4 linked regions of the Saccharomyces cerevisiae S288C genome follow. The main gene of each other region encodes a partner of the protein of the gene in region 3 in a complex. Each region holds a gene or a part of one and is shown on either strand. Other genes may lie near its edges. The genes, in order: IES5, ARP4, IES3 and IES1.

Evidence for each region.
Region 1: IES3 (region 3) and IES5 share a complex: the UniProt entries of both Saccharomyces cerevisiae proteins name them as parts of the chromatin-remodeling INO80 complex.
Region 2: IES3 (region 3) and ARP4 share a complex: the UniProt entries of both Saccharomyces cerevisiae proteins name them as parts of the chromatin-remodeling INO80 complex.
Region 4: IES3 (region 3) and IES1 share a complex: the UniProt entries of both Saccharomyces cerevisiae proteins name them as parts of the chromatin-remodeling INO80 complex.

The regions. Positions count from the first base shown.
Region 1 is NC_001137.3:338,199-345,012, reverse strand, and holds IES5 (Ies5p), read right to left. Parts: upstream 2,159-6,814; coding exon 1,781-2,158; downstream 1-1,780. Other genes in the region: TORC2 complex subunit TSC11, read left to right, coding at 1-1,693; MET6 (5-methyltetrahydropteroyltriglutamate-homocysteine S-methyltransferase), read left to right, coding at 2,846-5,149; anthranilate synthase TRP2, read right to left, coding at 5,541-6,814.
Region 2 is NC_001142.9:281,943-289,871, reverse strand, and holds ARP4 (Arp4p), read left to right. Parts: upstream 1-4,600; coding exon 4,601-6,070; downstream 6,071-7,929. Other genes in the region: SCP160 (Scp160p), read left to right, coding at 646-4,314; IML2 (Iml2p), read right to left, coding at 6,492-7,929. UniProt on the Saccharomyces cerevisiae protein: Chromatin interaction component of the NuA4 histone acetyltransferase complex which is involved in transcriptional activation of selected genes principally by acetylation of nucleosomal histone H4 and H2A. The NuA4 complex is also involved in DNA repair.
Region 3 is NC_001144.5:243,537-250,722, reverse strand, and holds IES3 (Ies3p), read right to left. Parts: upstream 3,523-7,186; coding exon 2,770-3,522; downstream 1-2,769. Other genes in the region: OSW2 (Osw2p), read left to right, coding at 1-2,006; NRS1 (Nrs1p), read left to right, coding at 2,297-2,623; FCF2 (Fcf2p), read left to right, coding at 3,746-4,399; EMA19 (Ema19p), read left to right, coding at 4,651-5,136; MLO50 (Mlo50p), read left to right, coding at 5,551-6,837. UniProt on the Saccharomyces cerevisiae protein: Probably involved in transcription regulation via its interaction with the INO80 complex, a chromatin-remodeling complex.
Region 4 is NC_001138.5:104,791-113,035, forward strand, and holds IES1 (Ies1p), read right to left. Parts: upstream 5,141-8,245; coding exon 3,062-5,140; downstream 1-3,061. Other genes in the region: MDJ1 (Mdj1p), read right to left, coding at 1-1,446; YFL015C (uncharacterized protein), read right to left, coding at 1,679-2,173; lipid-binding protein HSP12, read left to right, coding at 2,466-2,795; YFL012W (uncharacterized protein), read left to right, coding at 5,857-6,303; hexose transporter HXT10, read left to right, coding at 7,555-8,245. UniProt on the Saccharomyces cerevisiae protein: Probably involved in transcription regulation via its interaction with the INO80 complex, a chromatin-remodeling complex.

The sequences.
Region 1 (6,814 bases), on a different chromosome or scaffold from region 3:
AGAAAAAATAATATTTGGATACTTCAAATTCATCGGAATATTGACGCAGTCAAAGAATGGGGTTCATATCCTAACGAGGTGGAATTTTTTTACCGTAATCTATAAGATGTTTCAATTTGAATCGAAACTGGGGCTTGAGTTTCTATTATTAACAATACCAGAATTAGATTTGAAATATTCATCACATTGCCGCGTCATTATCGGCAAGGCCCTTGTAGTGGCCAATGAGAAAGTTAGGATTGAGGCTACAAAGCATATAGGCGATAAACTAAAAGAACTGTTATCCACGAAAGAAAGTGATCTTAAGTTAAAAGCGAATAAAGTGAAACTGCAGCAATTCAAAATGGAAATGTTAACAAGGCAACTATACGACCTGAGCCCCAGCGTAGTCGCCGTAGCAGACCAAGCTTTATATGAATGTATTGTCGCGGGCAATGGCTCTGAAGAGCTGGGCACCTCATTTAGGATGTTTTTAAACCAAATGGTATTCATTAGGTCTCCAATACTTTTCGAGTTATTAAGCCGCCCATACGGGTTCCAGTTGTTGAACGAAATCAATTTTGTGAAGGAGGAAAGGGATTCGTGGTTATCTAAAAAAAACATTGAGTATGTTCATATTGTGGAGGAATTCCTGAAGAAAAATGAATCAATTAATGCAAAATCCCTCACATTTCAACAAAAGAGTCGCCTGCCATTGCATTTTTATGAAAGTCTAACGAAAACAGAAGACGGAATATTACTATTAAGCCAAACAGGAGATTTGGTTACTTTCATGAACGTTATAAAAAAATACGTCAACGGAAACAATATGGCCACAGTAGAAAATGCCAAAGAAATTCTCGACTTAAAAGCAGCATTATGGTGTGTTGGGTTTATCGGATCCACAGAATTGGGGATAGGTCTACTAGATAACTACTCATTGGTGGAAGATATTATCGAGGTGGCCTACAATGCCAGCGTAACCAGCGTTAGGTTTACAGCATTTTATGTTCTGGGATTAATCAGCATGACCCGCGAGGGTTGCGAAATTCTAGACGAGATGGGATGGAACTGTTGTGTCAGTGTACAAGATGAGCCTATCGGGATCGCACTACCAAATAGGCTCGATAGATTTCTATCGTATAACGAACACAAATGGTCCGCATTTGGCGAGTATTCTGATGAGATGATTGTTTTTAATAAAAGCGATGGCGACTTGATAGAAAAATGCTTACCCATCGAATTTGATTTGGACAAACTACTCAAAGAGAAAGATACCGCAGAGAATCCATTAAATGAAAAAATCATTACTAATAAATACGACAACGATATCACAAGTCAAACTATCACTGTTTCAGGTGAAAATAGTAGTCTTTTCGCAAACGAAGGCCTTTCTTCTCCCTATGTTACACAATACCGCAATGACGATGACTCCATCGAGAGCAAGGTACTACATATAGTAAGTCAGCTAGGCAATCATATCCTTTCAAATCACGCAGTGAAGGAGATTACAGAAATAAACAATAAATACGGTCCAAGGCTTTTTGAAAACGAGAAAATGTTCTTCAAAGTATTTAATATGATGTCGAAGTATCGGTTTAAGCCACATGTTAGGAAGTTTCTTTGCGGACTATTTATTAACAATAGAGCGCTTGAAAATGTCATCAGGCACGACAACAAAAGGGACAAAAGGCCGGCTAATTTTACACGTTAGAGCAAAAAAGGGCCGCATGTATAAATGTATATAGTCACAATATTCCATAGACCCAGGCACTTCCCTACACCACAGCATACAAAACCGTTATGGTGTGTGCGTATCATTATATAATAATGGGGTTTCCTTGTACAGAGTATAAGCATCCATTAGCTCCTCGGGAACCTCAATATCTTCATCGTCCTCCAACTTTTCTGTAATCAGTGATATCTGATCATTGTACCACTTCAATTCGGGTACTTTCTCTACTGTTGCTTGAGATATTAAGCGTGGGAGTTCCGTTTCAGCAGAACCAGTATCTGCATCATCAATACTGTTCAGTACCGTTATCACGCTCGATACTTTTCTCAATAATGTAGTGTATTCCCTTTTTAGAGTCCCATCCTGTTTGATAAGCTCATCATTTCTTGCTGATATCTTCCGTATTTCTTTGTCTATAACGCTCTCTGGATCTTTACTAGGCATTTTTTTCTTGTTTTATAATCAGTCAAGTATTGGTTTCCCACAGCCATTCAACTCAGGTTCATCATCTTTTTCGCTTCCAAAAATGCAGTTGATTTCACACAATTTTTCATGAACCAGGGTCCCGCACTCCGGGTAAAGGACCATCACGCCACATCACGTGCACATTACTAGTAAAAGCCACAGGAAATATTTCACGTGACTTACAAACAGAGTCGTACGTCAGGACCGGAGTCAGGTGAAAAAATGTGGGCCGGTAAAGGGAAAAAACCAGAAACGGGACTACTATCGAACTCGTTTAGTCGCGAACGTGCAAAAGGCCAATATTTTTCGCTAGAGTCATCGCAGTCATGGCAGCTCTTTCGCTCTATCTCCCGGTCGCAAAACTGTGGTAGTCATAGCTCGTTCTGCTCAATTGAGAACTGTGAATGTGAATATGGAACAAATGCGATAGATGCACTAATTTAAGGGAAGCTAGCTAGTTTTCCCAACTGCGAAAGAAAAAAAGGAAAGAAAAAAAAATTCTATATAAGTGATAGATATTTCCATCTTTACTAGCATTAGTTTCTCTTTTACGTATTCAATATTTTTGTTAAACTCTTCCTTTATCATAAAAAAGCAAGCATCTAAGAGCATTGACAACACTCTAAGAAACAAAATACCAATATAATTTCAAAGTACATATCAAAAATGGTTCAATCTGCTGTCTTAGGGTTCCCAAGAATCGGTCCAAACAGAGAATTAAAGAAGGCCACTGAAGGTTACTGGAACGGTAAAATCACTGTCGATGAATTATTCAAGGTCGGTAAGGATTTGAGAACTCAAAACTGGAAGTTGCAAAAGGAGGCTGGTGTTGATATCATCCCATCCAATGACTTCTCCTTTTACGACCAAGTTTTGGATTTGTCTTTGTTGTTCAATGTCATTCCAGACCGTTACACTAAGTACGATCTATCTCCAATCGACACTTTGTTTGCTATGGGTAGAGGTTTACAAAGAAAGGCCACTGAAACTGAAAAGGCTGTCGACGTCACTGCTTTGGAAATGGTTAAATGGTTCGACTCTAACTACCATTACGTTAGACCAACTTTCTCCAAGACCACTCAATTTAAGTTGAACGGCCAAAAGCCAGTTGACGAATTTTTGGAAGCCAAGGAGTTAGGTATTCATACTAGACCTGTCTTGTTGGGTCCAGTTTCTTACTTATTCTTGGGTAAGGCTGACAAGGATTCTCTAGATTTGGAACCATTGTCCCTATTGGAACAATTGTTGCCTCTATACACTGAAATCCTATCTAAATTGGCTTCTGCTGGTGCCACTGAAGTTCAAATTGACGAACCTGTCTTAGTTTTGGACTTGCCTGCCAACGCCCAAGCCGCCATTAAGAAGGCTTACACTTACTTCGGTGAACAAAGCAATCTACCAAAGATTACTTTGGCTACTTACTTCGGTACCGTTGTCCCTAACTTAGACGCCATCAAGGGCTTGCCAGTTGCTGCCTTACACGTTGACTTTGTTAGAGCTCCAGAACAATTTGATGAAGTCGTTGCCGCCATTGGTAACAAACAAACCTTGTCCGTTGGTATTGTTGATGGTAGAAACATTTGGAAGAATGATTTCAAGAAGTCTTCCGCTATCGTTAACAAGGCTATTGAAAAGTTGGGTGCTGACAGAGTCGTTGTTGCCACTTCTTCTTCTCTATTGCACACACCAGTTGATTTGAACAACGAAACCAAGTTGGACGCTGAAATCAAGGGCTTTTTCTCTTTCGCCACTCAAAAATTGGATGAAGTTGTTGTGATCACCAAGAACGTTTCCGGTCAAGACGTTGCTGCTGCCCTAGAAGCTAACGCTAAATCTGTTGAATCCAGAGGTAAATCCAAGTTTATCCACGATGCTGCCGTTAAGGCCAGAGTTGCCTCTATCGACGAAAAAATGTCTACTAGAGCAGCTCCATTTGAACAAAGATTGCCTGAACAACAAAAAGTCTTCAACTTGCCATTGTTCCCAACAACAACTATTGGTTCCTTCCCTCAAACCAAGGACATCAGAATTAACAGAAACAAATTCAACAAGGGCACCATCTCTGCTGAAGAATATGAAAAATTCATCAATTCTGAAATTGAAAAGGTCATCAGATTCCAAGAAGAAATTGGTTTGGATGTCTTAGTCCACGGTGAACCAGAAAGAAACGATATGGTTCAATACTTCGGTGAACAAATCAACGGTTATGCTTTCACTGTTAACGGTTGGGTTCAATCTTACGGTTCCAGATATGTCAGACCACCAATTATTGTTGGTGACTTGTCCAGACCAAAGGCTATGTCCGTCAAGGAATCTGTTTACGCTCAATCCATCACTTCTAAGCCAGTAAAGGGTATGTTGACTGGTCCAATTACCTGTTTGAGATGGTCTTTCCCAAGAGACGATGTCGACCAAAAAACTCAAGCTATGCAATTAGCTTTGGCTTTGAGAGATGAAGTCAATGATTTGGAAGCTGCCGGTATCAAGGTTATCCAAGTTGATGAACCAGCTTTAAGAGAAGGTTTACCATTGAGAGAAGGTACTGAGAGATCTGCTTACTACACCTGGGCTGCCGAAGCTTTCAGAGTTGCTACTTCTGGTGTTGCTAACAAGACTCAAATACACTCTCATTTCTGTTACTCTGACTTGGATCCAAACCATATCAAGGCTTTGGATGCTGATGTTGTTTCCATCGAATTCTCTAAGAAGGACGATGCTAACTACATTGCTGAATTCAAAAACTATCCAAACCACATTGGTCTAGGTTTATTCGATATTCATTCTCCAAGAATTCCATCAAAGGATGAATTTATCGCCAAGATTTCAACCATCTTGAAGAGCTACCCAGCTGAAAAGTTCTGGGTTAACCCAGATTGTGGTTTGAAGACTAGAGGCTGGGAAGAAACTAGATTGTCTTTGACTCATATGGTCGAAGCCGCCAAGTACTTCCGTGAACAATACAAGAATTAAGGTTTTAAAAAGGAAGCAAAGTAATGATATTTTCTGAACTTTTTGTTTTTTATTCTGGGATTCAACATCGGTGATTTAATTTTTGTGTTCACATTTAAAAGTTTATTTGGGTAATTTTTTGATATCAATTTTATTACAAAGCCATAACTCTTGCATTTTTTTTATTATATTTTTATATACACGTACATTCTGTATTATTTATAACGCATTCAACATTCGTTTTCTAAAATTTCCTATATTTTTTGAACAAAAATTTTTTGGTTGTAAGTCGGACCAAATGTATATGTCGAAAGAATAATACTTTTCAGGATCCTGCTATACATCATTATATCATATTATTCGAAAACTATAAAAATGTCGTCTAAGGGGAAAAAAACAGAGAATGCCCTTTTTAAGCTGATCCTACGATATCGGCCCACAATTCTTCTGCTTGCACAATAGTACTGTGATTGGCCATCATTTTATTCATGGTTTCGACATATTCATCGTACTCATCTGAATCGTAAACAATACCACCGCCAGCTTGCAAGTAAGCAATGCCATCTTTATAGACCATAGTCCTTAAAGCGATACAATTGTCCATTGTTTTACCGTCGTATGACCAATGACCTACGGCGCCTGCATAAACCCCACGCCTTTCTCCTTCTAGTTCGGCAATCAATTCCATGGCTCTAACCTTTGGAGCACCACTGACAGTACCTGCAGGGAAAATCGATCTGAATGCATCAAATCTTGTCTTTTCTGGGCGGAGAACACCGCTGACTTGAGAAACCAGATGTTGGACATGAGAAAATTTTTGAATAGTTAACAGTTTATCGACACTTGTTGTTAATGGGTCACAAATTCTGTTAATATCGTTTCTTGCTAAATCTACCAGCATAACATGTTCTGCACGGTCTTTTAACGAGCCACGTAATTGGTCCGCTAAAGCATCATCCTCTTCAGTAGTAGCCCCACGTTTGACAGTACCAGCAATTGGATGGGTAATGACTCTATTTTTGGAATCCGATTTGCACAACAATTCTGGAGATGCACCAATGATTTGGAAATCCAAACAATCAATATAAAACAGGTAAGGAGATGGGTTCACTGTACGTAAATGTCTGTAAATATTGAAAGGATGTAACGAAGTTGGCCTTGCCACTCTTTGCGATGGCACACCTTGAATAATATCACCTTTCTTAATATGCTTCTTCAAAGTGGAGACGTGATTTTCGTAACCTTCCTTGCCCACATTCGATTCAAAAGTTTGATTCAATTTAATAGGAGGTTGTTCTGGATATGGTATTGGCGAGGAATCGTCGGTTAGCTTTGATACGATATCAGTGATTATTTGTGCTGCAGCTTGGTAACCTTCCTCCAACGAAGTTTCATTGGTATTAATGTTATGAATGATTTGAAATCTCTGAAAAACATTATCAAAGGCAATAATGGTATCACAAAGCATTAAATATGCCTCTGGAAGTCTTAGGACATCTTTCAAAGGCCTTCTTGTTTTTGGCTCGAAATAACGAACACAGTCATAAGAAATATAACCAATAGCACCACCACTTAATTTCGGTAAACCAGGAACATTTTCGGCTACTTTAAAGGTAGACATCTCCTTTTCCAAAATTTCCAAAGGATCTGTTTCAATGCCTTCAGTAGGACCGGTTTTGATGGTCT
Region 2 (7,929 bases), on a different chromosome or scaffold from region 3:
TCAAGAAAAGTTTTCATTGATCCTTCTTTCTCATTCCTTCATTTAATGTTCGTTTTATCTTCATTGTTTTACGAGGATTTTTCTGCTTCAGCAGTTCCTTGTTCACTAAGTATACCCATATATACCCGCCTATATACCCCAATTTTTTTATACAGTAACGAAACTTTTGGTAAACGTTTTCAATAATGTAGTAATATAGCCCATCAGGTATTCATCCACTCCACTGGGCATTTTCTGGAGATATACGTATTTATGTCCCTTTTTTTCTTTTTTTTTTTTTTTTTAGCGGTGGGCTTGAAAAATTTTCGCTCATTTTCGCGAATTGTTGTTGGCGACACTCGACAATTTCAATTTAATGTAGCTCTTAAAGACTTGCAACGGATAGTATATTTACTAATTTATAGTTTTTACATTTCGTACAGAACTTCCTTCGAAACATTGGCTATTAGCTTTTCAATTGAACGTCTTTGAAAAAGAACGTCTAAGTACACAACAGCACTTTCTATTTTCCTTTGAAATTGCTGTCTTTTATCTAGCATAATTTTTAAGGTGAATCATTCTGATTTCCTAACTTTCCGTCTATTGTCTTTTGGTTACCACGCTTAAAATATACTTCCCACACCCCCTCCTTCCATTATAACTGCAATGTCTGAAGAACAAACCGCTATTGACTCTCCCCCTTCCACTGTCGAAGGATCTGTTGAAACCGTAACTACCATTGATTCGCCAAGTACTACTGCCTCCACTATTGCTGCTACCGCTGAAGAACATCCTCAGTTGGAGAAAAAGCCAACTCCATTGCCATCTTTGAAGGATCTTCCTTCTTTGGGTTCAAATGCTGCCTTCGCGAACGTTAAGGTTAGCTGGGGCCCAAACATGAAACCTGCTGTCTCTAACTCGCCATCACCTTCCCCTTCTGCTCCTTCATTGACTACTGGCCTTGGGGCCAAGAGGATGCGTTCAAAGAACATCCAAGAGGCTTTCACTTTGGACCTGCAATCTCAGTTGTCAATCACCAAACCTGAATTATCTCGTATTGTCCAATCTGTTAAGAAAAATCATGATGTTTCTGTTGAATCAACTCTTTCTAAGAATGCTCGTACCTTTTTGGTTTCTGGTGTAGCTGCTAACGTTCATGAAGCAAAGAGAGAGTTAGTGAAGAAATTAACAAAACCAATCAATGCTGTCATCGAGGTCCCATCCAAATGTAAAGCCAGTATTATCGGTTCAGGTGGTAGAACTATTCGTGAAATTAGTGATGCCTACGAAGTTAAAATCAATGTCTCAAAGGAAGTCAATGAAAACTCATATGATGAAGACATGGATGATACTACAAGTAACGTTTCTTTATTTGGTGATTTTGAATCGGTCAACTTGGCTAAGGCTAAAATCTTGGCCATTGTTAAGGAAGAAACCAAGAATGCCACAATCAAATTAGTCGTTGAAGATGAAAAATACCTACCATACATTGATGTTTCCGAGTTTGCCTCCGATGAGGGTGATGAAGAGGTCAAAGTCCAATTCTATAAAAAATCGGGTGATATTGTCATATTGGGTCCTCGTGAAAAAGCAAAAGCCACGAAGACATCTATTCAAGATTATTTGAAAAAATTAGCTTCTAATTTGGACGAAGAAAAGGTCAAGATTCCATCCAAGTTCCAGTTTTTGATTGATGCAGAAGAACTAAAAGAAAAATACAATGTCATTGTCACTTTCCCATCAACTCCTGATGATGAGCTTGTGTCATTTGTCGGTTTGCGCGATAAGGTTGGTGAAGCTATCACCTATGCCAGATCGTCTTCAAAGAGCTATGTGGTTGAATCTTTAGATATTTCCAAGGCTCATAGTAAGAATCTGACCCATGCCAAAAATCTAATCATGTATTTCACCAAGTACTCCGTTTTAAAGGGTCTTGAAGAATCTCATCCTAATGTTAAAATATCTTTACCATCCATACAGTCATTGCCAACAGCTGAAACTGTTACCATCCACATCAGCGCAAAATCTGATGAGGCAAACGATATCAAGGCCGTTCGTAAAGAATTGATTTCTTTTGTGAACAATATTCCACCTTCCGAAACCCTGGTTATCACAGATTTGGATTACGAGTTGTTCGGCGGGTCTATTAAACATTGTTTATTAGCTTCCGAAAGCAGCGTTGCCTTTGTTCAATTCGGTGATTATTATCCAAATGATAACAGTATTTTACTTGTTGCTTTAACTGAAGATGAAGATTTCAAGCCATCTATTGAAGAGATTCAAGCATCTTTGAACAAGGCCAATGAGTCATTAAACTCTCTACGTACTAAACAAAACAACATGGAGACTAAAACTTACGAATTTTCCGAGGAGGTTCAAGACTCATTGTTTAAACCATCTTCCGCTACATGGAAATTGATTATGGAGGACATTTCTGAACAAGAAGGCCACCTTCAAATTAAACTACATACCCCTGAAGAAAATCAGTTAACTGTTAGAGGTGATGAAAAAGCTGCCAAAGCTGCTAACAAAATTTTTGAATCTATTTTGAATTCTCCATCGAGCAAAAGCAAAATGACTGTTAATATTCCAGCCAACTCAGTTGCCAGATTAATTGGTAACAAGGGCTCCAACCTACAACAAATTCGTGAGAAGTTTGCCTGCCAAATTGATATTCCAAACGAAGAGAACAATAATGCTTCGAAAGATAAGACTGTCGAAGTTACTTTGACTGGTTTAGAATACAACTTGACTCATGCCAAGAAATATTTGGCTGCCGAAGCCAAAAAATGGGCTGATATCATCACAAAGGAACTAATTGTTCCAGTTAAGTTTCATGGTAGTCTGATTGGTCCACACGGTACTTATCGTAACCGTTTGCAGGAAAAATACAATGTCTTCATTAACTTCCCAAGAGACAATGAAATTGTCACCATTAGAGGCCCTTCTCGTGGTGTCAATAAAGCTCATGAAGAATTGAAAGCTCTGTTAGATTTTGAAATGGAGAACGGACATAAGATGGTTATTAATGTTCCAGCTGAGCACGTCCCAAGAATTATCGGTAAGAATGGTGACAATATCAACGACATCAGAGCTGAATACGGTGTTGAGATGGATTTCTTACAAAAGAGCACCGATCCAAAGGCTCAGGAAACTGGTGAGGTTGAACTGGAGATCACTGGTTCTAGACAAAACATAAAAGATGCCGCCAAACGTGTGGAATCCATTGTTGCCGAAGCCTCCGATTTTGTCACTGAAGTCTTGAAAATTGATCACAAATACCATAAGTCAATTGTTGGTAGCGGTGGTCATATTTTAAGAGAAATTATCTCCAAGGCTGGTGGTGAAGAAATTAGAAATAAGTCTGTTGATATTCCTAACGCAGACTCCGAAAATAAAGACATTACCGTACAAGGTCCTCAAAAGTTTGTCAAAAAGGTTGTCGAGGAAATTAACAAGATTGTCAAGGATGCTGAAAATAGTGTTACTAAGACCATTGATATTCCAGCAGAAAGAAAGGGTGCTTTGATTGGCCCTGGTGGGATTGTTCGTCGTCAACTAGAATCCGAATTTAACATTAACTTATTCGTTCCTAATAAGGATGACCCTAGCGGCAAAATAACTATTACCGGTGCACCAGAAAATGTCGAGAAAGCTGAGAAGAAAATCTTGAATGAAATAATCAGGGAAAATTTTGACCGAGAAGTCGATGTTCCTGCCTCCATTTATGAATATGTTTCAGAACGTGGTGCTTTCATACAAAAGTTGAGAATGGATTTATCCGTCAATGTAAGATTTGGTAACACCTCAAAGAAGGCTAACAAATTAGCTCGTGCTCCAATCGAAATTCCTCTAGAGAAAGTCTGTGGATCTACCGAAGGCGAAAATGCAGAAAAGACTAAATTTACCATCGAAGAAGTCGGTGCACCAACTTCTTCCGAGGAAGGTGATATTACCATGAGGTTGACATATGAACCAATTGATTTGAGTAGCATTCTCTCTGACGGTGAAGAAAAGGAAGTCACAAAGGACACTTCAAACGATTCCGCTAAGAAGGAAGAAGCTCTCGATACTGCTGTTAAGTTGATTAAAGAAAGAATTGCCAAGGCACCATCTGCTACATATGCCGGTTACGTCTGGGGTGCTGATACCAGAAGATTCAATATGATTGTTGGCCCAGGTGGTTCTAACATCAAAAAGATTAGAGAAGCGGCCGACGTTATCATCAACGTCCCAAGGAAGTCTGACAAAGTCAATGATGTTGTGTACATTAGAGGTACCAAAGCTGGTGTCGAAAAGGCCGGTGAAATGGTTTTGAAATCCTTAAGAAGATAGACAAGCTCTTTGAAACCAATTTTTTTCAATATAGATTTTGGCTTTTACTTACTTATATAATCCATTAATATCTACGATGTGTACGTTTTTAAAATAGTTAGATTACATTAGTTTTTCTTTGAAAAGTTCCCATTTAAAGCTATTTTGAAGTTGAAGTAACACGAACATAAGAAATGGAGAAGACGACGAAACAGCGAGAAGAAAAAAAAGAAAACAAGATGTACAGAAAACCAAGGATTTTAGGCAAAAAAAGAGTCTTCGTTATAAGGCGGTGAAAAGCATAACTATGTCCAATGCTGCTTTGCAAGTTTATGGCGGCGACGAAGTTTCCGCAGTAGTCATTGATCCTGGCTCATACACAACAAATATTGGCTATTCGGGTTCTGACTTCCCTCAATCAATTCTGCCCTCTGTTTACGGTAAATACACTGCAGATGAAGGCAATAAGAAAATATTTTCTGAACAATCAATTGGAATTCCAAGAAAAGATTATGAACTGAAACCTATTATCGAGAACGGTCTAGTCATAGACTGGGATACCGCACAAGAACAGTGGCAATGGGCATTGCAGAACGAACTCTATTTGAATTCCAACTCCGGAATACCAGCTCTGTTAACTGAGCCCGTTTGGAATAGCACAGAAAACAGGAAAAAATCTTTAGAAGTGCTCTTAGAAGGCATGCAATTTGAAGCCTGTTACTTAGCACCCACATCGACATGCGTTTCTTTTGCAGCAGGTAGACCCAATTGTTTGGTTGTTGATATTGGACATGATACTTGCAGCGTCAGTCCAATAGTGGATGGTATGACATTATCAAAGAGTACAAGAAGAAATTTTATTGCTGGGAAATTTATCAATCACTTGATTAAAAAGGCATTGGAACCCAAAGAAATCATACCACTTTTCGCAATCAAGCAAAGAAAACCAGAGTTTATAAAAAAAACATTCGACTATGAGGTTGATAAATCGCTGTATGATTACGCCAATAACCGAGGGTTCTTTCAAGAGTGCAAAGAAACACTTTGTCATATATGCCCAACAAAAACTTTGGAAGAAACGAAAACAGAATTAAGTTCTACGGCTAAAAGATCTATTGAAAGTCCTTGGAATGAGGAGATTGTTTTTGACAACGAAACTCGTTACGGCTTTGCTGAAGAGCTTTTCCTTCCAAAAGAAGATGACATCCCAGCAAATTGGCCTCGCTCGAACTCTGGAGTTGTGAAAACTTGGCGGAATGATTACGTGCCGCTAAAAAGAACCAAGCCAAGCGGAGTGAACAAATCAGACAAGAAAGTTACACCAACTGAAGAAAAGGAACAGGAAGCTGTAAGCAAATCTACTTCTCCGGCTGCAAATAGTGCAGACACTCCAAATGAAACCGGTAAGAGACCGTTAGAAGAAGAAAAGCCTCCTAAAGAAAATAATGAATTGATTGGTCTAGCGGATCTTGTTTATTCGTCTATAATGAGCAGTGATGTGGATCTAAGAGCGACACTAGCTCATAATGTTGTCCTTACAGGCGGTACATCCTCTATTCCTGGATTAAGTGATAGGTTAATGACAGAACTAAACAAAATACTACCATCCCTTAAATTTAGAATATTAACAACAGGGCACACTATCGAAAGGCAATACCAGTCATGGCTTGGCGGTAGTATACTTACAAGTCTGGGAACATTTCACCAACTGTGGGTTGGGAAAAAGGAATACGAAGAGGTGGGCGTCGAAAGATTGCTTAACGATAGGTTTAGATAGGAATAGAAAACGTTGTTGAATGACAAGTCGCCTTTCAGTTTAGCAGTTTGAGCGACCATTCATCTACTCGATCAATATCTCAGTGATAAATAAATTGTCTTGATTCTACTATAACCCTTTTGTAAAATAAAAAAAATTTCTACGATGGACCGGTTTTGTTTCCTAGGGAGTAATGAACTTGGCCTATAACTAAGAAGGAGGTTCAAAAATTTAAATATGTTCATTTTTAAAATCATAACACTATATATATCGACACCGTAGAACTAACTACTCGGGAAACCCATTGCGTAAAAATATAAAAAAACTATGAAACGTCACGAAAAAATGATGGTTGTAATAACTGCTAGCAAGGGAAGGTAAGTAGTCGAAAGAAAAAAAAAAATGCATACTTCTAAAATGTTGGGGCGGAAGAAGCAAAAGGTTAAGCAAGCGCGTTTTCAACTCTATCAAGGGCGGCTTTGATCTTCATACCGATACGCGTACTCAATTCGTAATCGGCGGCATAATTTTGGGCTCTTAGCAGCCATTCCCTACATTCATTCAAACTTTCCATGCCACCCAGTTTCCAACAGAATAAAGCTCTCTCATAAAGAGCGGCTGGATATGCCCATGGGTCTTCGGTTTTTTTGAAATATTTGACTTTGCCATTTTGAATGTAGAATATTTTTGGCAGAACAATGTCATCTAACAAGGCTAAACCTCTTTCAGCATCCCCCAATCTTCTTAAGGTCAAGGATAGTAGTAAGTTTCTGATCAGCTCTTGATCTGGGTCTTCCGAATCAATGGCGGGGTTGTGATACTCTGTCAACATCTTTTTGGTCAAAATTAAATCGTTTTCAGTCATCCTGTTGTAACCGTTGTAGAAATAAGCCAGTTCATGGACAGGTGATGTTGCTATTGAGTCTAGTGGTTCTTGTAGGTTTAATTTCTTCTGCATATTATTAAATTGTTGAACTTTTCTAAGCATGAATCTATCCAATGGAAGATTTTTGGATTTGAACGTTTTCTTACCTAACAAAGATGGAGCGTCAAATATGAGTTCTCGAGCCCGCTCTTTATAGAATTGTTCTTTACCGTCATTTAATAAGCCTAATTGTGTCATCCTCCAATTTTCCAAGTAACAGCAACCCGCAAAATAAGTGTACAATGCGTGAGACCAATCACTAATATCAAGCAAACTTATTAAATCATCGGCAGCTCTGTTGTATTCGTGTAAGTTGACTAAAAGGATCGCACGTTCAAACACCATCAACGATTTCACTTGTCTCATACGGATACTATTGACATCAATAGAGTCCATTAGGGCCAGAGAATCACGAAGCCTGCCCTTTCCAGCAAGCATTTTGGCCTCATTTAGCAGCCACAGGGCACTATTAGGAAAAAGTGCTCTTGCTTTTAGTAATGCGTCCTCCAGAATTTTTCCAGGATGCAATAAGGTTGCACTGTCCATATAACCTGGTAAAAGGCTACTATCGTTTGTTCTGCTTTTGTTTAAAGCCCTCGATCCATTATCGTTTGGTGGTATATCAAAGTCAGCATCTGTAAATTGGAAAGGACCGTCGTAATAAAACATCAGACCTAACAAACCTATACACCCGTGAACATTTCTCTCCTTTGTAGCCTTCCAAACTAGCCTCAAACCTTCTTCACGGGATCCCTTGAATCCAACAATAGATAGCACAGCACCGATTGCAGGTGGAAGTAAGGATAAGACGACTTGCAAGATACCATAGCATAAATTAGCACCTGAATGGATGAATTCGTCGATGGTAGCCTGTTCTAAATCGAAATCATCTGAAACAGAATGGCGGTCGGAAGCTTGAGACGGAGTCGTCTGTAAACCCAAATCATCCCTTAAC
Region 3 (7,186 bases):
CGCCAAACATTCTCACTAAGGATATTAAAGAGCTGCACCACAAATTAAAACATAACGGTGCAAATACGTATTCAATTGACATTGTGTTAGTGTCTGCAATTTCCTTACAGTCTTTCGAAACAACTTGTCGATTGTTGTCAGATTACACGAACGACAATACGACTGTGCTTATTAGCACTGATTTTGGTTGCGAACTGGAGCCCATAGCCATAAGTTATTTTGGAGGGAAGTGCAAGTGTGTTATTTCCATTTCGTGTGAGGTTGAATGCAGACAGTTATCGCTTGGATCATATGCATTGGTCAACGACGATCAATGTGTAATAACTTTGGGATTAACTTATTGTGATGCTAATTTTGAAGCAAGTCCAACCATTCTGGAAAACACGAAAGCAGCTTCGTTAGAATTGCAAGGGATTAAGGGTTCAAATGTTCGCAGGTTCCTTCTTGGATTGACCGTTGCGAAATGGATGAAATCTAAATTAATTTTGGACCCAAAACAAATGGCATTGAAAATGTGGGAATTGCTTATTCCTAAAATCTCACTTAACATCCTTTCTATCATCTATGAACAATTTGATTATGAGAAAATGTTAGAAAACAAATCCACAGAAATTATTTTTAAAGATCTGGTGAAAGAGTTACTTGGAATTTGCTTTGCACAATGTGGAAGCAAAATTGCAAGGTTTTTGCTAGTAAAATCACAAGGTGAAGAAGAGATTAATTTTGGGAAAATCGTAGAATATTGCAAAGGTAAAAAACTGCAACTTATCAACTCTACGGCAAACGAACATCCGGAATATTTATCCTTACCGTTTGAGCCTTATTGTTTCTACCACCGATTTGAATATCCTGCTCAAATTCTTTTGCATCAGCCCATCATTTTGGCCAAAAAGTATGGTGTTTCGTGTTCAAATTTAAATTTCCTATATGGATTCTATACGAGGTTACTGACACTAAGTGGGCTATCAATAAATGGTGGAAGGTGTGAGCATGCCTTGTCGATGTTGGACAGCAGGATTGGTGGTGGTATTAACGTTGCTTCAGGAATTAATAGCGGCCAAGATTTTACCGATGGTGATAACGAGGATCAAGATAAAGGCAAAAACAGAGTGGACAAAAATGTAAAGGAAGGTTCTTTCATTAGTTTAACACAACGATTCACGATGACAAGTCCACTGGGTGTCAATGATCCAGCTTTACCAGCGGACTTAGAAAAGTTGTATTTAGGTGCAGAATACATTAGCAATTGCGACGCAAATACATCTGGTGGTCAAAAACGAGTAAAATCTCCAACTAAAGCAGATACAGGCTACGATGATAAACACTTGCCTGATGATACGATACATACATTTGAAGATGAATATTTGGCCGATGAAGACGACTTTTCTTGCCTTGGAATTGACAAAAGAAGCTCAACAAAGCCCACAAAGCCTCTAGAAAAATTTGGAGTGGTTGCTGTGCCACACTTCATCAGGAGGTTTTCTATTAAAAGGTCGAGTAAGGATAAATCAAATGATATGAAAAGACCATATACTACAAGCAGCTTGGAGTTGCAATTAAGGTCAAATCACTTTATGTTCGCCAAAGAATACCAAGACTTACATAGACAATTATATTACGAAGTTAAACCAAGGACGCAATCAGAATTGGACGCAAGACGTCGAAACTATTCTGAATTAGAATCTCAGATGTGGAAAATTAAACATCGGTTCAATATTCATAGAGGAGCACTGCCTCGTCCACGAACGAATCCGTATGAGCTATTACTGGACCACATTGATGTTTTGAACCGTGGCAACACTGGGGATATTTTGAGATTTACCACTAGTAGATACGGTGGTGTAGATACGTATGATTCCATCTTGAGGGACCAATCCACGATCATGGAACTTTTAGATAAACGGTGTGCCTATTCACCTCCAGTACTGTTCGATAATGAGGCTAAAGAACGTGATCATGATCGCGATTGTTATCAAGATTACAATCACGACCACCGGAGTCATTAATATTAAAAAAAAAAAATGTGATTGTTAATAAGGGGTGGGATGCGCGAAATTCTATGCCTACAGTAGAAAGCGGTTGTTGCACAAATGATTAAATCTTTATCTCCAACTCACAATACTATCGCGATAGATGCATAATATGTGCAGCTTCTAAACAGCACGGAGTGATGATAAATACGCATATATGTATATATATATGTATGTGCATATGCACGTCCTTTTAAAACTCAAAATACAACATTCTTAGTAAATCCTTTTGTTGACACACGTCGGAACAACTCAGGACGGAGTTAATGGATATGCTTCATAATAAATGTAGTGATGCTATCAAAAGCACCTCCAATAGCAATTTGAGTAATGAGGTAGACAAACAAAAATTGCAATACGATGACCTCGGGAACACCGGATTTTCTGAACTATTTGAGATGGAATCTCAAGATAATAATGATAGCATAGAGGATTTCTTGTTCTTTAATATAAATTTAACCCAGGAGGTTGAGTTCGAGAACCAAAGACAATATGAGCACACGAAAAAGACAAAGAAGCATAACCCATTCTATGTACCGTCAGAGGTAGTGCGAGAGATGGTCAAGAAACACGCATTGAATGGCAGAATATAGTTAAGCCCGATAACACATTCTATTTTTCATGTTTTAATAACGTTTCATATATGAATTTTTCTCAAATATACGATATATACCTAAATGAATATGCATATGGAAGTGAAGTTGGGGATTTTGCAAACTTGTCTTATGTTAATCTTGGCTTAAAGAATGTTTTCCAAAAGGCCGTTCTTATTAATTTTTCTTCTCTTGGTTCTGTTAAATGCTAGTGAATTCGCATTGACGTTCGTTGGTATGGCTACTGCTCCGAATGCGATTGGATGGCTTGCCTTCCTGCCACGATTACTGAACAAATCGAGTTCTACATTTGCATCCAACAGTAGTTCTTTCAATATAAACCACTTTCTTTCTTTCTGTGAAAGTTTTTGGTACTCTTCAAGCAAGTTCTCTTGGATTTTGGTCAGTATATCAATTTTTTCATCATCTGATAAGTCAGGGTCCTCAGTTTCTTGGTCCTGCTCCGCTGCATTTAATGTTACAATTTGGTCATTGACAGCTTGTAAAAAGTTGTCATTCATAGCGTAAAGATTGTCCTTGTACAACCTTGTCTTGAGGGTGCTTATATCTATCTCATCTTGGTTAGCGTTCGTTATTACATTCCCTGGAGAATTCTTTATCATTTCATAGTTCATTTTCGATATGTCATCCACGGCAACAATGTGTCTTTTGAATGTCGTGGTGTTTGTGTGAGTGGAAGCAGTTGAGGCGGCATTTGCATCGGTAGCTGTAGATGGGGTCGAAGAACCTTGTTGATTCAAGCCATCTGCGTTATGAAATTTTTTGTGATGTGGGTCTTTCTCCAAGAAATCTGGAGTTTTGACACTTTTGTAATGTTGAGTAGCTGCATGAGCAAACTGCACCTGTTTATTGGTTGCCAAGAGGTCTTCGAACTTCATTGTTATGATTCCATTGAAGACAGCTATGTCAGTTAACAACGCAATTCCCCCTTTCACACGAAAACCTTTTCTCTAAACATCCTTCTCTTTTATCATAATTCGTGGTTAGTGCCGGCCTAAAAATTTTTCAGCATATTAAAACAGAAGATAGAAAAGAAATAGAAAATGCGATGAGACGTCAAGTTTTCCAATTAAAGAGGACGTGAGAAAGGAGCTGTTAAACATGGATCAAAGTGTGGAAGACTTATTTGGAGCACTAAGAGATGCTAGTGCCAGTCTAGAAGTAAAAAATTCAGCGAAGGAACAAGTTTCTCTTCAACAAGAGGATGTTTTGCAGATAGGCAATAATGATGATGAAGTAGAAATTGAAAGTAAATTTCAAGAGATCGAAACTAATCTTAAGAAGCTTCCTAAGTTAGAAACCGGATTTGATGCTTTAGCAAACAAGAAGAAGAAGAAGAACGTCTTGCCTAGTGTGGAGACAGAAGATAAAAGAAAACCCAACAAGAGCGACAAAAACGATAATGACTGGTTTACCTTACCAAAGCCAGATGATAACATGCGTCGTGAAGTTCAACGAGATTTATTGCTGATTAAACATAGAGCTGCTCTTGATCCAAAGAGACATTATAAGAAGCAACGTTGGGAGGTGCCAGAGAGGTTTGCTATTGGTACCATAATTGAAGACAAGAGTGAGTTTTATAGTAGTCGTATGAACAGGAAGGAAAGAAAGTCGACTATTTTGGAAACACTCATGGGTGATGAAGCTTCTAATAAGTATTTCAAGCGTAAATACAACGAAATTCAGGAGAAATCTACGAGCGGTAGGAAGGCACATTACAAGAAAATGAAAGAGATGAGAAAGAAGCGGAGGTGAGATAATGGAATTTTCTTCGCCACGTATTCCATATAGTATATTGTAAAGTGGTTTAGATTACATAGAAATATTCAAAAGAATTAATAATTTGCATATCGTTTAAAAAAAAAAAACCTTTGAAAACATAGTAAAGAATTATCGGCTTTTGTACAGGATACGAATTAGTAGGTATAAAAGGAACAACCGCAGCAAATAAGTACGAGAAACGAGCCACTCACGTGAAAACATATAGAGAAAAGCGACCGGAGATAATGAAGCTAGGACATCGTGAGCAACAATTCTACTTGTGGTACTTCATCGTTCACATTCCCATCACCATATTCATCGACTCATCAGTGGTTATTCCCGCTAAATGGCAACTAGGGATTGCGCAAAAGGTTGTTAGTGATCACATCGCAAAGCAACACGATTTCCTGCTATCAGAGAAACCAGAATGGCTATACTGGTTTGTAGTCCTTGAGCTAGTTCTGCAACTACCCCTTTTCGTCTATTTCGTCAATAAATTCTGGAATTCAAGCGAATTACAAGTTAATACAAATAGCAGATTGAAAAAGTGGTTGCGTATCTATGGCTGGAATGCCTCTCTAACTACCTTGATATGTATCGTTGTTATTTTCAAGCGTGGTTACATTCCTTACGATGTGCTAAAAACAAGCTTGTCCATGACCCAGAAGTGTCAGTTAGCCTCGGTGTACCTACCTACATTCCTAATTCCTTTGCGTTTGTGTTTTGTGTAGCCTGTGTCGGCTATATATACAGTATTAGTGACTATATAGTTAATTAGTGACATATGCCACTAGTTTTATCTAATTATTGTGCTGCGTTTTGCAGTATTCTTTTTTATTTGAAACGCGTCACAAAAGTTTCGCGTCCTTAGGGAAATGGCTGGTTTTTGTTTTAAAATAGTATATTATCCTTGATGTAATTTAGCAAGAGTGTATTGTAAGGGAACAGTCTGTTACTGCCATTCCCTCATCGCTAGATCCCCCTTCCCTCGCTTATTCCGTTACTTTCGCTTTACTGAGCCATAACCAAGCGCACGCATACATATATATATATATATATATTGTGCTGCACGTATATATAAATAAATCACGCGTACAAGGATACGTTAGCCAAATTCTTTGGATATAACAAAACAGCTACAACTCATGGTTAATAATATCATGCACGAGTACGTACCACCCAGTCAGCGGCTATTCCATAGCAGGCATAGAATAACAAGAAACGATTTGAAAGAAGAGGCCCTACATTCCGGGACCACAGATTGGACAACAATTCTGGACACAACAATAGATAAAGATACTAATCTCATTAGTTATGCTGTCCCCATAATAGACAACTTTGCCATTCCTCGAGCAAACTCTCAGGGGAGTCCTGTGGCCCCTTCGCCGAATCACAGATCAACGATGTACTCTTCTTCATCTTCTTCTGCGTCTTCTGTGTTTTCTGATGGTTTGTTTACTCCAAACAACAACAGGAACTCATCAGGATCATCTTCATTAGTCATTAGACCACAAAAAAATTTGAGTGTAGATTCTTTGATTCAGGAAAATAAAAGGAAAATCAATAGTGAAAAAGAATCGTTATCATTAATTGCCAATAATAACGATGAAACCTTGTGCACTCATACTGATCCATCCATACAAAACCTCATTAAATCGGAAACAAAGAGGAACATCTTAAATTTAAAGTTTCAAAATAGAAACTTATTTCGAAGAGAACTAAAATTGGAAAAGTTTTGGAGCAATTTGAGAAGTTGTCATACATCTGGCGATGAGACGGACCTGCTGTTGGTGATAAGTAAGCATAACTTATATTGGTTTGGGATACCGAACGATTTTCGTCTTCCAATATACAAGAGATGTTTATATCACTATAGCGAACTAGACGAAGCCGGATTTTTCAGTCAGTATGCGAACAACTCATTGTATCTAGCAATAAGGAAATGTTGTAACAACGAAGAGCAGGAAACTCTATCCCGGTCTATTTTCATCAATTTGACGAAAAACGTTACCTGGTTGAATAGTCGTTTCGATGACAATAAGGACAACAAGAATTCTTACACGGTTACTGAGGGGAAGTTCTATCAGGACTTTCCTAACTTATACTACCATTTAAAGGACAAGTTGAAATTAAATGTGATAATGGATTTCATCAAGCCTGTAATAAGAAATTTTATGACCAACGCATTGAATAAGCACAAATTAGATGGTATTGGTCTAGAACTTTTAGATATTCTAATAGTGACTACCTATTATGGTCCGAATAAAATCAATGCTTTCTTAATGGATACATTTATCTTAAACTTGCTAAAACAGTGCCATTACAAGTTTTTTGTCAGTAATATCTCTGAGCTGGTTATTCAAATTTCTAAAATCGATTGTGACTTAGTCATTCTGCTAGAAGATTTAAGGTCACGGATTGATTTAGATTGAGCAAGGGGTAAGAGAGAAGGCAGGTATTTCTCCTGGAAGAATATATATATATATATATGTATAACGAAAGCAAAATAAATACTCGGGTGAACCCGTCATGGCGAATAGTGCAAATTTAATTAATAATAAAAATGAAATATCAGAACTAAACATTAATTTAACTTATCTTCAATACTATAGATAGTCAGCCTTCCCGCTAAAGAATTTAATTATTGAAACCACTTACCTAATAAAAAAAAAAGCGTAATAATGGCCAAATGACTTGAATATAAAAGGACAAAAGCATAAACTTTTAAAATATTATAATTTTTGAATTTGGTTAAAAATTTTTATACTATGATTGCATTAA
Region 4 (8,245 bases), on a different chromosome or scaffold from region 3:
GTGTTTTTCCTCTTCTTGTTTTTGTTTCTTCAGTATCTCTTCATTAATGGCTGTACCCGCGGCTGTGCCCGGTTGCATGGTTTTCTTGGCCATGTCATCGTTGGTGACATCTGCCAGTGCCTCCCACAAGCATTTTTCTGCCAGCGATTGCGGTTTCTTAACAACGATCTTGTACTGGACTTTCATATCACCGCGAATGGTTGATGTTTTAGGAACACCCATGTTAGGAATGGATATCACTTGATTGTATTGAGTCCCTGGAGCGACCTTTATCCTGATCTTTTGTCCCTCCACAGTGGGGATAGTGACAGTACCACCAAGTGCAGCTGTGGTTATAGGAATCTCCTTGTCGTACCAAATATCGTACTTGTTCTTTATCGAAAAGTTGGGATCCTTGTCGACACGAATTCTCACCAAAATATCACCTCTTGATAACTTGACTGAATCTTTCAAGTCCGCCTCTACAGCGATGTCAGGGTATGAGCCTTGGCCAGGGATCCTGACCACGTCGCCGTCCTGTAATCCATGTGGCAAGTCCACCGTAATTGTCTTTGCCCTGTTGACCTGAACACCCTCACCATGGCACTTGGTACAATTGTCCTGAGGCCGTTTCATGGTACCTTCACCGTTGCAAGTAGGACAAGTCGACATCATCTGAAATCCGCCCCTAATGTGAACAGTGGTTCCTGTTCCGTGACAAGTGCTACAACTGACCTTATGCGTGTTTGGTTTCATTCCCGTCCCTGAACAGGTACTACAAGGGTCCAGCGCAGAGAATCTTAACTGAACGTTCTTGGACCCAAACACTGCGTCCTTGAAAGACACTTTATGGACAATCTCGATTGGGTCGCCCCTATATTGTCTGAACATAGATGACGACCTGCTTGCGCCACCGCTACCGCGGCCACCACCACCAAATGCAGCACCAAACAGGTCTTCAAAATTGATACCGCCAAATGGCGAGCCGCCTGCACTGGTGAATCCTGAGAAATCATGAAATTGGGAACCAAAGGGAGAGCCACTACCACCACCGGCACCTCCAGCGGCACCGCCGCCGCCGAAGGCAGCGGGCCCAAATTGATCGTACTGCTGCCTCTTCGTTTCGTCTGACAGAATTTCATAAGCGTTCTGTAAATCGTGGAATTTCTTCTCAGCATCCGGTTCCTTGTTGATATCCGGGTGGTACTTCTTTGCCAGTTTGTAGTATGCTTTTTTGATTTCCGCACCTGTAGCAGATTTCTTCAAGCCTAAAGTATCGTACGGGTCCTTGAATGCTTCGTTGTTTCTGATTGCAGAAGTATGGAAGCTAGATTTTGGTATTCGTGGAGCGATGGATGCAAACGCGATGGCATGTCTATAAAGAATATTATTGATATGGCGAGAATGTCCCACATGGTGTCTAAAGACACCGGAACACCTTGACAATACACCTTGTTGGAAAGCCATTGTTATGTTATGTTTAGAGTATGATATAGGACTTCTCTCTCTTTTTTTTTTTTTGTCCAGGTGGAGTGCGATTTGTTCGTTATATGCCTCATTCCTTAATTTTTATCAGTCAGAACGTTATTTCGCGCTGCAAGTTCCTTACTTTTCCATAGAGTTCCACAGGATGTAAAGAAAAATAATGATAAAAAAAAGCAGAACATATTACCCTTCTTTTGGAGCGTACTTCCATCTGTTACCCGCTCATCCAAATGCACATTCTGTTACCCTCTTGTTCGGTATTTTTCGGAGTTCTCCTTTTCTCCTTCTTTTCCTCTTGATACACAGAAAAGTGGGAGAAGGTAGGGGGAGTCAGAGAATGAAGAAAAAAAGGGGACGCGCAAATCCAAGTGAAAATCTCCGGGAGCGGGCGGATCCCACTAACGGCCCAGCCGAAAATGGAAAAAAAGGGTCGGTGATGTGTGGGTGCCAGCTGGCGGTAGCAATGACGACGTGTTGACGGGCCCTTGGCTCTTGGGACAAGGACTAGAAGCCAAAAGCCAGAGGCGGTAAAAATAGCAAGACTAGAATATTGCTGGCATCTGTTAAGGGGATATGTTGCAACTTGCAGGGGGCGGCACAAAATAACATAGAAACGTAGTAAAGAGGGGAAAAGGAAAAGGAAAAGGAAAAGGAAGGAAAAAAACCCATTGACGTAGAAATTGAAAGAAGGAAAGGTATACGCAAGCATTAATACAACCCACAAACACAGACCAGAAGCACTCTAGACGGAGAGTAACTAGATCTACAGCCCCTGGAAAATCGTTTGGTCAACTTTGAGGTTCCGGTCGTCCCCCTCTTGATCTGAAAGGTCTTTCTCTAAATCTATATTAAAACGTATAAATAGGACGGTGAATTGCGTTCTACTTCCTCAATTGCGTTTGATCTTATTTAATCTCTCTCTAATATATAGAAAAAAAAACCATCTGATTATTCGATAATCTCAAACAAACAACTCAAAACAAAAAAAACTAAATACAACAATGTCTGACGCAGGTAGAAAAGGATTCGGTGAAAAAGCTTCTGAAGCTTTGAAGCCAGACTCTCAAAAGTCATACGCTGAACAAGGTAAGGAATACATCACTGACAAGGCCGACAAGGTCGCTGGTAAGGTTCAACCAGAAGACAACAAGGGTGTCTTCCAAGGTGTCCACGACTCTGCCGAAAAAGGCAAGGATAACGCTGAAGGTCAAGGTGAATCTTTGGCAGACCAAGCTAGAGATTACATGGGAGCCGCCAAGTCCAAGTTGAACGATGCCGTCGAATATGTTTCCGGTCGTGTCCACGGTGAAGAAGACCCAACCAAGAAGTAAATCTTTCGGAACTCTTTGTAGTTACATGGTTTTTTCTTTATGATGTGTGATGTTCCTTAATATTATATTCAATGAATAGCAGAGTAATAAAAAAATTCTAAAAAAAAAACGCTTAAATCGAGGTGGAATATATAAACTTAAGTACGCATATACTCTAGTTCAGTTTAAAAATTAGCTGTTTTTTTAAAAAAAAAAATTCTCTTTCTTTACAAAATGTTCTTAAATGTATGTATGTGTGTGTGTGTGTGTGTGCGTATTGTTCTATTTCACTCCAGCTTAAACATGGCGGTTGCTTCTTCGTCATCAATTTCCGCGCGTTCGATTTTATTTAAAAGTACTTTCTTTGAAGCGCCGAGATTTTTCATGAAATCCGTCTCAAATCCAAGCAAATTATCTTTGAATTTCTTTCTCTTTTTACCGCGAATCCCAAGCACTGACGCTACGGGGATGTCTTCAAATTCATTGAATATCTTGATTAACCCAATATCGCGTCTTTTCAACCTGTTTGGCACCTGGGATTTTTTCAAATCGGCGAGAAACTCCTCTTGTGTCTTACCATTTTCTGACACATGCTTGTTCAGATCTAGCGATATTAGCTTGTCGACCTTGTTTACCGTAGCCGAACTATTGTATTTTTTCAATGGTGTTAGATTTAAATCGTTTTTGTCAATGATAGCAGCGGAGGTGATTTCTTCTTCTGTTTCTGTTGGTGCTGCTGGCGTTACTTTGGGCAGTTGTGGTGTGACTTTTTTCCTGTTCAATGTCATGGGTGAAGAAGATTCCAGTATGGGCGTAGGCGTCAAAAGTGATCTAGTCTCCTCTACAGTCTCCTCGCTCTTGTCATCTTCCCCTTCACCGTCCTCTTCACTCTTGTCACCACCGATACTGGGCTTTTTCACCTCTGTAACATTGGTACGCTCGCGCTTCCTACCCTCCTCCATCTTACTCATGAATTCTCTTCTCTTGATGCGTTGGTTGGCTCCGAACTCTAATTCATCTTCAGGATCCGTGTCGTAACTGCGTTCCGTACACCTTAAAATGAACTTTCCAGCAGGTGCACCATCTTCCAATCCATTGAAAAATCTTACTGATTCTTCGACCTCCTCCTGGCTTAAGTTTGTCTCCAAATGAATATATAGCAGCCAAATCAATATGTTTGATCTATCCTTTGGCTCGTATTTCGAATAGTCCAGTATATCAAATAATGTTGTTGCATAAGCTGCTTTTGATTCTTGTTTTTCATTTTCCGCTTCCGTTTCTTTTACTTCATTCTGTTCATCTACCATATCTTGCTCCTGAGCTTTCGATTCGACTTCCACATACTTGGAAAGAAACCTCTTGTCAATTAGGCCGGAATTATCACATATGCTAAACAACATATTAATAATGTTAAATTTGTTAACGGTGTCCACTTCACCATCATTTTGGTCGACCTTTTTGTAAGTCTCCATCAATGAGAGTTGCTCATTGCCCCACGGCAGATTTTTCAGAATAGATTTCAGTCTAGGTGTATCCTGCAAAAGTTTCGGATCATTGGCATGTAATTGTAAAACTGGCACGGAGTGAAAAGTTCTCAATTGCGATGTCATTTCTAAATAAAAATTTATAGTGGTGTTCAACCTACCAATGTTGACCAATAACGCTAAAACACAAGTAGAAAATGCTACTTGTTGGTCTAATAATAGTTTATCTCTGAGAATTTTGGAACATTTGATAGAAGTGGCTATTGTCAACACATACAATTGTGCGAACGTCAATTTATCGTTAAATACAAATGTCCTTGCATCGTACTCTTTGTCGGTCACGTTGATTGATAATTTATCGCCATCGATATTAATGGGTACAATAGAGTTCTTGTATAGGGGTTTTAGAACATTAGTGAAGATTTGCCTCTTGTCCATCAACAGTTCTTGCATGAAACTGAACTGAATGTCCTTTCTATTGAATGGCTCGCCGTCAGGTTTCTTCAAATGACGATTGTATTTACTGGCATTGCTTTCTTTGGGTTTCCTTCTAACAGTGTTAGTTGTCACTGGCCCCGTTGCCGTACTTGCTCCTGTTGCTTCAGGCACTGTAGAAGGTTCGAAGTTGAGCAAGATGTTGGTATTTTCTTCTTCACTTTGCGTGGAGTCATCATCATTTTTATCGTCGATTTCAATCTCGTGTATAACTGGAATGCTTTTTGTAGTCACAGTCTCGGTCTCTGATTGAATGGAGCTTGGGGATGCTTCTTCTTGTGATCCCGATTTTACAGATTGCATTGGAGAATCTGCTTTTGTTTCGTCAGAATTGTCTTCTCGTAGTTGGAAAGTATCATGAATTGGATCGTATACTCTCTTCCCCATCTTTAATTAGAGTGTCGCCTTTATTTAGCTTTCGATTTTACTTAGTTAATCATGAACTGTTTCCAATACCATATCAGCATTCATTGGGCGTTCTTTACTTACTTGTACCGTTACCGCATTCGAGGGTAACCTGTTTTTCGTTGTACACGATATGCTACAGAATTGTCTTAATATGGGCTAAGAAAAAAAAAAGTCTGATTATTTCTGATACTGCAAAATATATACTGGCTTGGTTAAGAAAAGTGTTGCTTTAGTTCCTTTACATCAAGAGTCGTTAAATTGTTTTGTGTCATAACAGTAGTGGTCTTTTGAGACATCAATCGACTCTCAGGTTTTCCTTCTGTTCATCTTCTTGTTTTCGGTAAAGGTCAGCCAGCATATTTCAATTCTCTCTTTTTTGAAATAACATTATGTAATCTTTCAATCCTTTCTATCCAACGTCTGCTAAATAATTTATTCAAATGACATGTAGACCAGAAAATCGAACGTTGGATAATTTTTCATCCTGAATCATGTTGGTCTCAACTAGAGCAATTTTTTCACGTCCTCTGACACAAAACTCGATAAACTGTCGCATCAGTTTAAAAAAATATGTACGTGTATAATAACTGAATTTAAAAGGATAGTAAATAATTTTTGCATTTTATGGAATGTCAAAATACTAATAAGTCGCAAATATAGCTATCAAATACCATAATTTAGCTACTTATAGAAAGATGCCCAAATCCCGACCAAAAAGGACCATTGCGTCTTCCTCGTCAGTTTTTTATGGAAGTTCACCTTTCCAAAATGATGGCTACATCAAAGTAATGGAACTCGTATCACACATTGTCATTGAAATAAATCATTCACCTACCGCAACAACGGATGAAACGAGAAAGCAGAATAATCCGGAGCTGAAAGTGAAAGAACCAGTTTGTAACCTCAAGAAGTGGGAAAATAACACTAACTTTATATTGGAAGATCATACGAAGAATAAAACAAAACTTTCTAGCACAGATAGGATACGTAAGTGGTTTAGAAGACATATATTAAAGGAAGAGATCGAAATCCTTTCCCATGGAAAACAATTGAGTAGTATTGATGAGGATTATTGCCCTTCAAATGTTCTTGTAGGATGTTCAAGAGATCTAAATAAACTCAGATCATTTCAAAATTTTTAGGAATATAAAATTTCTCAGTAAGAAAAAGAAGATGAATGCGTTTATAGTATTTTAAGTTGTTCAATAGAATATCTTCAATATGTTCATATGTGGACTAAAAGAAGATTTTGGTATATGTCTATAAATTTATTGTTGGTAAACGCCATTAAGCAGCTTTCCAAGAATATGTTATCATTGAGGAGAAGTACGAAAACTGATTATGCACGATTAGGAAAAATTCTGCAAGGAGTATTAAAAAATGGCCTTCGAGAAGAAATGAAATCTCTTTCGATGAGCAATGGTCTTATGGATAATTTGATAGACATATGAAAAAGTCAAAAGTTTTTTTGGCCATATGCAGTAAAAACTTACCCTTCAAATTGCAAAACCATTAGTTTTATTATATTTTTTTTTTTTTCTTTCATTGAAGTATACACGAAATCCCATACGCAAATAAACAGTCGTTGTATCATCAATTTCGGCTGTCTGGATGGCGACTACGAGAGGAAGCTTGCTTGCCATGATAGGACCAATCTCAATTTTTAATTTTTCATTAACTAGCTAATTTTCTATAATGCTCTAAGTTTCCTTTTTCGTTTTGTTTCTTTATAGTGATGATGCTGTTATTGTGACGCTATCAAATCATATACTGTCATCAATCCTCATCTCATCGGCTCCGGAACGCGTTGAATATGTTGTTAAACAAGCTCTTTATAGCTAGCTATAGTAGAAAAGGAAGGAAAGAAGTCTAATCGCTGTATTATCGACTGACAAGGGTTGTCAGTTGCCTTCTTTTATTTTTTGTACTCCCCTGAATCGAGCGGATGTATTTTTTAACAAAGTATTCAGAATTGTTTTTGTATAATCAAAATTTGTCGACGCTAAGAAAATGACGGACGTCGTAATTCCGCTACTAGGTTTTGTGTGCTCATCGATATTTGACACCTATTTTCGACACTTTTAAGGTTATATACTTTGTTTCGGATGTGGGGTACACTCAGTTGACTGATTATGAAAGATATGGCGTAGCCGTTGGGTTAGGGTTATTACACAGAAATGAATTATACCAGTGAAATTATTCTCTTTATGTTTGTTCCTACATGTTTTCCAATCAGAAGGAATTGTTATATAAGGACACAAGAAATGTGTTGGTACGCTCTGCGCCTCAATGACGGTTTATCTATCTAAAACTATTTCTTTCTCGTAATAAAAATACAATAAATAATTAATAATAATATAGTTGATCGATATAACAAAAAAATAACAGCGAGGATGGTTAGTTCAAGTGTTTCCATTTTGGGGACTAGCGCCAAGGCATCCACTTCTCTAAGTAGAAAGGATGAAATTAAACTAACCCCTGAAACAAGGGAAGCTAGCTTGGACATTCCATACAAACCCATTATTGCATACTGGACGGTGATGGGTCTCTGTCTGATGATTGCCTTTGGTGGATTCATTTTTGGTTGGGATACAGGAACCATTTCAGGGTTTATTAACCAAACAGATTTCAAGAGAAGGTTTGGTGAGTTACAAAGGGACGGCAGTTTTCAACTATCAGATGTCAGGACAGGGCTAATTGTCGGTATCTTCAACATAGGTTGTGCTTTAGGTGGCCTAACGCTGGGACGCCTGGGCGATATTTATGGGCGTAAAATCGGCTTAATGTGTGTTATACTGGTGTATGTTGTTGGTATCGTGATCCAGATTGCTTCCTCTGACAAATGGTATCAATATTTTATTGGTAGAATTGTTTCTGGAATGGGTGTTGGAGGTGTTGCTGTGCTGTCGCCAACTTTGATCTCAGAAATTTCCCCAAAGCACCTAAGAGGCACTTGTGTCTCTTTTTACCAGCTAATGATTACCCTTGGAATTTTCTTGGGCTACTGTACCAATTATGGTACAAAGAAATATTCAAATTCAATACAGTGGCGGGTTCCCTTGGGTTTGTGTTTTGCGTGGGCAA